Danio rerio: one gene and its partner. Each later gene encodes a partner of the first gene's protein in a complex. Links are inferred from orthologs where the notes say so. Each region holds a gene or a part of one and is shown on either strand. Other genes may lie near its edges.

Region 1 (4,469 bases):
GTTTATGTTAAATCTTTTGATATTATTAGGAAAGTTTCATATACACAAGTGTAAATGGTCAGAGAGGAAGGCTAATATCTTCCACTTAAAAGCTGCTGTCAAACTTTATTTAAAAACACTTAAAGCAATCAAAACTGTAAATACGGGCCTACTCCAAGAACTAAACTTCTCTTCTCTACAGTAATTGTTATGTTTATTTGCTCTTGTTAATTTTCTTTCTTTCTTTCTTTTGTAATTTTGCTTACATATTTTATGATAAAATGTGAATATCCTATTGAAAGATTTATACATTTGGTTGGAAATGTTCAGCATATACACATACATCAATTTATAAAATCTGTGATATAAATGATTGCATATTTATCTTGTATACAACTTAAATAATTAAATAAATAAAAAAAACAAACAAACAGTATAATAATAATATATGATAATGATAATGATAATGAAAATGATAACAACAACAACAACAACAATATTAATAATAATAATAATAATAATAATAATAATAATAATAACGTGTTTTAAAGAAAACGGCATAATTTAAAAAAAACTGCATTTCTATTTCTATTGTATTGCCTTTCTGTTCAGATTTATATTAAATTACAATGATGATGGAGTTAAGTGAAGGCTTATTTTATAGAATTAATTAATTTATAAGTGAATTAAATAATTTATAAGTGAGAATAATAATAATAATTGCGGCGCATTATGTAGTCCTGTCGCCTCACAACAAGAAGGTTGCTGGTTCATGTATGTATGTATGCGAATGACTGTGTATGGGTTTCCCAGTAATGGGTTGCAACTGAAAGAGCATTCGCTGCGTAAAACATATGCTGGATAAATTTGTGGTTAATTGCGACCCCAGAATAATAAAGGGACTCAGCCGAAAAGAAAATTAATGAATAAATGAATAATAATAATATTGATAATACAGGGAATTTGGTGTTTTTTATGTATTTTTAAGTTTACTAAATTAAAATTACCACTCAAGAAAGACAGGTAGTAAGAAGAAACTCTACTGATATCATACGATGGTAATAACATTTTTATTAAAGACACAACTTTTTATTTTTATTTTTTATTAAAGAATGCAAATATACAACCACAATCAGGAGATCGACATAAAATTGAGAAAAATACAAATTACATTAGCAGCAGAAAGAAAAAAAAAAAAAGATTAACAAAACAAAGGAAGGGGTGAGTAATTTACAATTGTATAAAAGTGTATGAAAATAAATTAAGAGCATTAGGAAAGCGTTCTAATCAGAGTCAATAGACAACAGCTCTTTATATAGAACCAGGAATCTGACACATTTTTTGTTTTACACATACAGAAAGATTTGAGCAGTGAGTCAACTTCAATCAGAAAATGTAAAAGAAAATGTAAAATGTAAAAGAAAATTGAAGCCATGCATTTTTTGCTTATGTATAAAAAAAATCCAAACAAGTTAGCCGGATATGTTTTTAAAGACACGACTTTTTATAAACAGGAAGTTGAATGATTACGTATGCCGTGAAGTCCCGCCTTTTCCGACAACAACTAGGATGTAGTCTGTTGCTGTAGTGCATTTTGACTACAGCTGATAAAGATATAACTTGATGATATTTTATCCAAGAGCTGATCTTTGACAGTACAATGGCTGAGTCTCCAGACTGTCGGAGTCTTGTTTCTGCGTCGTCACAGCTCAATTTAATGGAAATAGAGGCGGTACGTCTGAGATTGACTAACGTTAACGTTAAGATGATTCAGTGTCTATGATTGTGTTAATTTTTGTTATAATTGGTTTGCTTATTTACAGGTTATTAGATAGGTGCGCTTTATTTATGCTTCTTTCTTTTACGTTTGTCACTGAGGTCGTGATTGTTTTGTGCATAACCGTTATATGTTTTTGTAATGTATTATTGTTATTATATTGTATGTATGGTAAGAATCCTCTGCACTTCTTTATAGCTCTGTTCTTTGATACATGTGCGTTTTAATAGTAAACATGCATTTACATTGTAGATTGACGATAAAGAGTTTGACATCCCTCAAGTGGACACACCTCCGACCCTAGAAAGCATCCTTAATGAGGTCAGTATCAGACTGTCTGTTTTTTTTATTGTTCCCTATCAGCACCCTCAAGATATTAGATGTGCAGATTCACCAGTCGAAGGTTAGAACGCACCTTTATGCTCTTTTCAACGTTTCATAACTATATGTAGAGACAGTTATGAAACCAAGTGACACATGTAAATGGGTTTATGGGAATTATGGATAGACCAAGATTTTATAAAAAAACCCTAATGTAATATTATCCACTTTTCCAATCAAATGTTTAAAATAATTTGTGAAGAAATTAAAGGGATTGTTTACCTCCAAATAAAATGATATGCTAAATTAAAAACCCCCACAAAAACTAGGGATGCTCCAATCAGGATTTTTGCAGCCGATACCAAGTACTGATTCTTTGTCATAGTGATTGGCAATGCATAAAGCACATTTTTCCTCTACGTATGTTACTTAAGTGGAGATATCTTCTTACCCAAGTTAAAAAAAAATTAAGGATGTTGCAAATTACCCCTTAAACATTTCTCTTATAGCCATTTAGGTGTGAACATGTCATGGTCAAAAGAAGATTTACAGAAAATAATAGATAAAATCTAAAAAAATTGGTCAGAAAAATGACAAACAAAGCAATATGAAAACATTTTTCAAATTGCATATTTAATGCATAAGAAGTTCAAATGCACACATCCCTTACTTCTTTACTAAAATAGACCTATAAAGTACTGTTTATTGCAGTAAGTATATTACAAGAAGTTATATTATTAAATCTTTATGTAAAAAAAAAAAAAAAAAAAGTTTTATTTATGTAATTTTCCAGCCAGGTTTTAGTGAAATTGCAATATTGTCAAAAACACAAAACATTCAGTGTTTTATGTAAAAAGGCCTGAATACATGCAAGGTCATTCTAATATTTTGCTCGTCCCCAACTAACACAAACCCTTGCAATCGGTTCATGATATCAGCCAGATCAGCAAGTACCGATTGAGTAATGATAGCAAACTGTGGCTGACTAATTGGAGCATCCCTTACGAAAACTGTAACATTATTCAAGGAAGAGATGTAAATTGTGTTACCATTTACTCATCATTCACTTGTTGCCAAACTCTTTCTCCTGTTGAATACAAAGAAAGTTATTCTGAGGAATATTGGGAAAAAAGTGTTATTAACATCCACAGTAGCAACAAAATATTCTATGGAAGTCAATGGCTGTTTTACTTTTAACATTCTTCAGAACAAGAGAAAGAAAGTCAAATATATTTGGAACAAATAAAATATTTTGTTTAGTGTTAAAATATATTTATTTATATATTTTTATATATATTTAATTTAAAATGGTTTATAATTTTTTCGTTAAATAATTTAAATTTTTTTATAAATTTGTACAACTTTGTTCTTTTTAATATTTTAACATGCTGTATTTGAAGGTCTTTGAATTTACCAGACATTACATGCATTCACAAATTTAAGATTCTTTAAAAGAAGATATATAATCACAAGTTATTTATCTTAAGACTGAGTTTTCAGACACACAATACTAAGTTTAGAATTTAAGTAAGACTTACCAAACAGAAGACAAACACCCAAAACTAGTGATAACAAAATCATGTTTTTGCAAGTAGGAGTGCCTTAAATTTATTTTAGCACACTATCTATTCATTTGTCAATGCTCTTTGATTTATTTCAGCCTGAAGATGAGGATGAGCCATTCATTTTAGAGGACACATGTCTTTTGAACACAGAGAACATTGATGCCCACTCGTGTGAGACCTCTTCTTTGGCCAGCTCTGACAGTGGAGACCGAACGCATTTAAAGAGGAATGCGCACTTCCTTTATATTGTTGTTCTTGCCCTGTTGTGGTTTTTGTTCTGCTGTTAAAGAAGTATTTTCTTTTGAGTTATTATTCTGTGTGTTCCCCTCAGGAGGAGGAAAGCAGTGGAAACTAATGCTACAGTGCATGGATCTGTTCTTAGACGCAATGTGCTGAAGGGCATCTCAGCTCAGATAGTATCTGCTGCGGTAAGAGGAATAATACTTCATCCACAATTCCAACAATGCTGTACTACATAAGCTGTGCTTAAATATGTTGTGTATTTGATGACTACACTGTAAAAAATACATTTGAATTGGGACAACATGAGGGAATTAGGTTAACTTATTAAATTCTAAAGATTTAAGTGGATTGAACATAAAACAATTAAACTGTCTCCAAAAAAAAAAAAAAAAAGAATAATTGTGTTGTTTCAGCTTGATTTGAACAAACAGCATTTTTTAAAATTTTTGTTCATTAAATATTTTTGTAACATTAAAATAAGATCACATTTGTTAACATTATTTAATGTATTACATTTAACAAATGTACTTAATGGCCCATATTAACCTTGGTTATTATTAGTTTATTAATGTTCATGTTCATAT
Region 2 (4,544 bases), on another chromosome or scaffold:
TGACCATTTTTAAATCTATTCCGCCGATCTTCAGGTCTGGCTGCAGCACTTTTAGTGGAGCTTAGCATAGATCATTGAATCGGATTAGACCATTAGCATCTCGCTCAAAAATGAGTTTAGATAAGTTTTCTATTTAAAGCTTGACTCTTCTGCATTTACATTGAATATTAAAAAGGACAATGAAAAGTTGCTATTTTCAAGGCCAATATGGCTAGTATCTATACTCTTTTTTGAAGTAATACGCAAGGAATTTTGCTGCTGTATGATGGCTGCAGAAGGAACAGTAAAATTAAGCAGATGCTAACTGGTGGTGCAGATGTAGGTCTTGGTTCTTGGGGTTTTTCTCAGGCACTTTTTTAAAGCATTGGGGTCAAAAAATCCTAGAGGGACTTGCTAGCATTCATAGTAAATTTTCTGTCATGTCAGTATGATTTCAGTAGCCATAAGCATTGATCTGTAAGTCGCAGAGACTGTTTTTAAGAAATGCATCATTGCTTTTAAAATGTTTTAACACATCTGTATTACATTTTTATTTAAGGGTTAGTCCCTTATTTATCAGGGGTCGCCACAGCAGAATGAACCACCAACTATTTCGACATATGTTTATAGCGCATGTCTTTGGACTGTGGGGGAAACCAGAGCACCCTGAGGAAACCCACACAAACACAGGGAGAACATAACAGCTGCACACAGAAATGGCCCAGCTGGGACTCGAACCAGTGGTCTTCTTGCTGTGAGGCGACTGTGCTAAACACTGTGCCACAGTGCCACCTTTACATGTTTATTCATTTACTTTTCGGCTTAGTCTCTTTATTACCCAGGGGTCGCCACTGTGGAATAAACTGCAAACTTATCCAGCATATGTTTTACGCAACAGATGCCATTCCAACTGCAACCCAGTACTGGGAAACATCCATACACACTCATTAACACAAATTCACTACGGACAATTTAGCTTACCTAATTCACCTATAGCGTATGTCTTTGGACCTGGGGGGGAAACTGTAGCACCCAGAGGAAACCCACGCCAACATGAGGAGAACATGCAAACTCCACACAGAAATGCCAACTGACTCAGCCGAGTCTCGAACCAGCGTCCTTCTTGCTGTGAGGTGACAGCGCTACTCACTGCGCCTTGTGTCTATGCAGGTAAATGTGCATTTGGTAGAGCCACACTTTATTTAAAATACATGTGAAAACTGTCATAAGATGAACTTGTGTATTCATGCATACTGAGTCAGTTTGCCACTAATATTGTTCTGTAAACAGAAAAAATTTCCAAGTCACTTTAAAAAACATCTCGAGAGCATGTAAGAAATATTTAACCAAGGGTTTTATGTCTCTGAGATATTTGGCATTGTGAAACCAATGATCCATTCAGAGCTGGAGTAAAAGCAGCAAAACTGCTGACACAAACTTCCTCAGGATGAGAGTCACATGGCAAGGTCAAAATACAATTCAGTGAAAGAGAAACGTCTACAACACTGACAGCGTCTACATTAACGAGGTGAGACTGCTATTTATTATTTTTTATGCTGAACAAACACTGTATATACTGGTTAAATATAATTTCAACTGATTATGGTGCTAATTACTTTGCTTTACTAAAGCGAGACACTGCAGGTAAAAAAAAGTTTTTTTTTCTCTGTAATGTAAAGAAAACATCTAAAATACGCAGAATAGGCTCAATCTAAAAACGTAGATATATTTACATTTCTGAAGATCGCAAATTATGTAGCCAGAGCTACGTATAGCTGCATTTCATCTTTAAAATGAATGCTACAGGGGCGGTATGATGGCGTTCCTTTACACGCTTGGCAGCTAACCTCCATGTGGACAGCTTTTACACTGTTACCAGTTTGTCCAGTGGCTCGACACGTACATCGGCCGACTTGAGACACAGAGAGGAGTTAACCGTGACTACCAAGTTCTAGTCTGGTGAAGAAAGGTTCCAGAAAGCAGGTAAGAGAAAAACAGAAGCCAAAAAATAAAATAACAGGTGGAGAATGTGGTAAAATCGTGGTAAAAAACGTGGTAAAAACCAGGCGAGGGCTTTTCTTTTTCTGGATTGCTTTTGAAAATTAATGGTTGGGTTTAGGGAAGTGGGTGGGTAAGTCAATCTGTGCTTTTTAAAACACTATTGGTTGGGATTAGGGAAGGAGGAGGGTGGGTGAGTTGATCGGTCAGTCAGTCAGTAATATAGTCAGTCAGTCGACAGCAGCATCTGGTGGATTTACGCAAGAACAGCAGGTGCGCGAGAGAAATTTAAGATATGAATAACCATACACAGCGACCTCTGGTGGATTTGCAAAAACAAAAACTGCAACAAAAAAAAACTTAGCTCCAGGGATGTGTTTGGCTCTCTCCAGAAATATGTAAAAAGGTAAATAATCAAAATGAGCCTGGGTTGAAAATATATATTAAAGTGCTACTTTATCGTCTTGTGTTGTTGAAATTCAATTACTTTACACATTTTTAAAAGAAATTAAAACAGCAAATTAAAGCACATTTAATTAAATAATCCTTACTTGCATATTCAGACATAATTTAGAAAACTAGTAACGCCAAAAAAATTAGCAATTCTTATGACATTCAGCTCTGTTAATATAACTGATTGGTTTTCAATTTCAAGGTTTCCATAAAATATTTTACCCAAAAATGAAAATTCTCAAGTGTTTAAGCCTACATATGTTTCTTTATTTTGAATATTATAAAGAATGTTGGGTTGGCACAGTGGCTCAATGGTTAGCACTGTCACTTCACCGCAAGAAGGTCGCTGGTTCGAGTCCCAGCTGGGCCAGGGGACATTTCTGTTAGGAGTTTGCATTTTCTCCCAGTGTTCACATGGGTTTCCCCCGGGTGCTCCCTACAGTCTACAGACATGGGCTTTAAGTTGATAAACTAAATTGGCCATAGTGTATGAGTGTGTATGTATATGGGTGTTTTCCACTACTGGGTTACAGCTGAAAGGGCATCTGCTGCCTAAAACATATGCCGAAATAGTTGGCAGTTCATTCAGCTGTAGCAACCTCTGAAACAGACTGAGCCGAAGGAAAATAAATGAATAAATGAAGAATGTTTGAAACTGGTGCATTCACCTCCATGGTAGAAAAAAAAACAAATACTATTAAAGGATATCTTCTTTTATGTTCAACAAAAAAATAAAACACTTTTACCTCTCACTTGTTTCTTAAAAGTGAATTTAGAAAACTTTCATTCATTTTCTTTTCAGCATAGTCACTTTATTAATCAGGGATTGCCAGAGAAGAATGAACCACCAACTTCATTCATTAATTTTCTTTTCGGCTTAGTCCCTTTCCTAATCAGGGAACGCCGCAGCAGAATTAACCAACAACTTATCCAGCATATGTTTTATACAGCTGATGTTCTTCTAGCTGCAACCAATCACTGGGAAACACCTATACACTCTTATTCAAACACATACACTATGGCCATTTTAGCTCATTTAATTCACCTATAGCAAATGTCTTTGGACTGTGGTGGACACCGGAGCACCCTGAGGAAACCAACACGGGGAGAACATGCAAACTCCACACAGAAATGCCAACTAATCCAGCCGAGGCTCGAACCTTCTTGTTGTGAGGTGACACCATCACACCGCCTTAGTTTAGAAAACTTGTAATACAAAAAATGAGTTACTCTTAATCCAATGAAGGGAACTAGTGATAACTACTTTTGCCCTTTTCATTTGGAGTGTACCTGTTTTTATTTATTTTTTTGCTTCCAGCACACAGAGAGCTGAACTAATGAAGGCTGTTTCCTATCTCCACCCAATTTTTCCTCTATTTTTAGGTGTACTTCTGCATCTGAGAACTACAGTAAATGAACAGTAAATAACCATGCAGGTCTTTACTCCAGCGCTAGTCTTTCAAAGAACGCCCTCAGGCAAAGGCAGAGACAAATTCAGCATTCAGTGTCTGGAGTGTTTCGGTAAAAACCTCTACATCGGGACCAAAGAGGGAGCCGTTGAGTACCTCACTGTAAACAACCCAAGCTCTCAACAAAGCCTTACAGTTCGGGAGGTGGGAAAGAGGCAGATGGGTCGAAGCGGAGCAATCATCAAATTAACAGCCATCCCGGTTCTCAATCACCTCTTGGTTCTTTGGGACGGTTCGATTACAGTGCTAAACATGTTCTCCCTTGAAGCCCTCCCAGCTCTGAAGAAAATCCCCAACGTTTTACTCTTTGCTGTCAGTGAGTCAGGGATTCAGAGAGATTCAGCGGAGCTCATCGTGGCCTCGAGCAGGAGGAAAACAGTAAGCGTTTATAAGGTGCATGTGGACAGATGGGAGTGTGTGAAACAGGTGGTTCTGCCGCAGGAACCTGTGCTTCTGGCTGCGCTCGGCACGTGTCTGTGTGTGGCCACTTGTGACAGATATTTTCTCCATGATCATCAGAGCCAAAACACCACTGATCTTTTCCTACATAACCTGGGGAAACAAAATATCATCGCTAACAAATGTGGAAAAGGAGAGTTCGTTCTGAATGGGCCTGGATGTTTGGGTGAGATTTTGCTTTTAGAT

The links.
Region 2: vps8 (region 1) and si:ch211-266g18.9 share a complex: the UniProt entries of both Homo sapiens proteins name them as parts of the putative class C core vacuole/endosome tethering (CORVET) complex. The link is inferred for Danio rerio from reciprocal best matches to the Homo sapiens genes VPS8 and TGFBRAP1.

What each region holds. Positions count from the first base shown.
Region 1 is NC_133176.1:33,661,805-33,666,273, forward strand, and holds the start of vps8 (vacuolar protein sorting-associated protein 8 homolog), read left to right. Parts: upstream 1-1,535; 5' UTR 1,536-1,639; coding exon 1,640-1,711; intron 1,712-2,008; coding exon 2,009-2,077; intron 2,078-3,737; coding exon 3,738-3,874; intron 3,875-3,973; coding exon of another isoform or gene 3,974-3,979; coding exon 3,980-4,070; intron 4,071-4,469. UniProt on the Homo sapiens protein: Plays a role in vesicle-mediated protein trafficking of the endocytic membrane transport pathway.
Region 2 is NC_133192.1:16,857,493-16,862,036, reverse strand, and holds the start of si:ch211-266g18.9 (transforming growth factor-beta receptor-associated protein 1), read left to right. Parts: upstream 1-1,460; 5' UTR 1,461-1,507; intron 1,508-1,785; 5' UTR 1,786-1,962; intron 1,963-3,813; 5' UTR 3,814-3,860; coding exon 3,861-4,524; intron 4,525-4,544. UniProt on the Homo sapiens protein: Plays a role in the TGF-beta/activin signaling pathway. It associates with inactive heteromeric TGF-beta and activin receptor complexes, mainly through the type II receptor, and is released upon activation of signaling.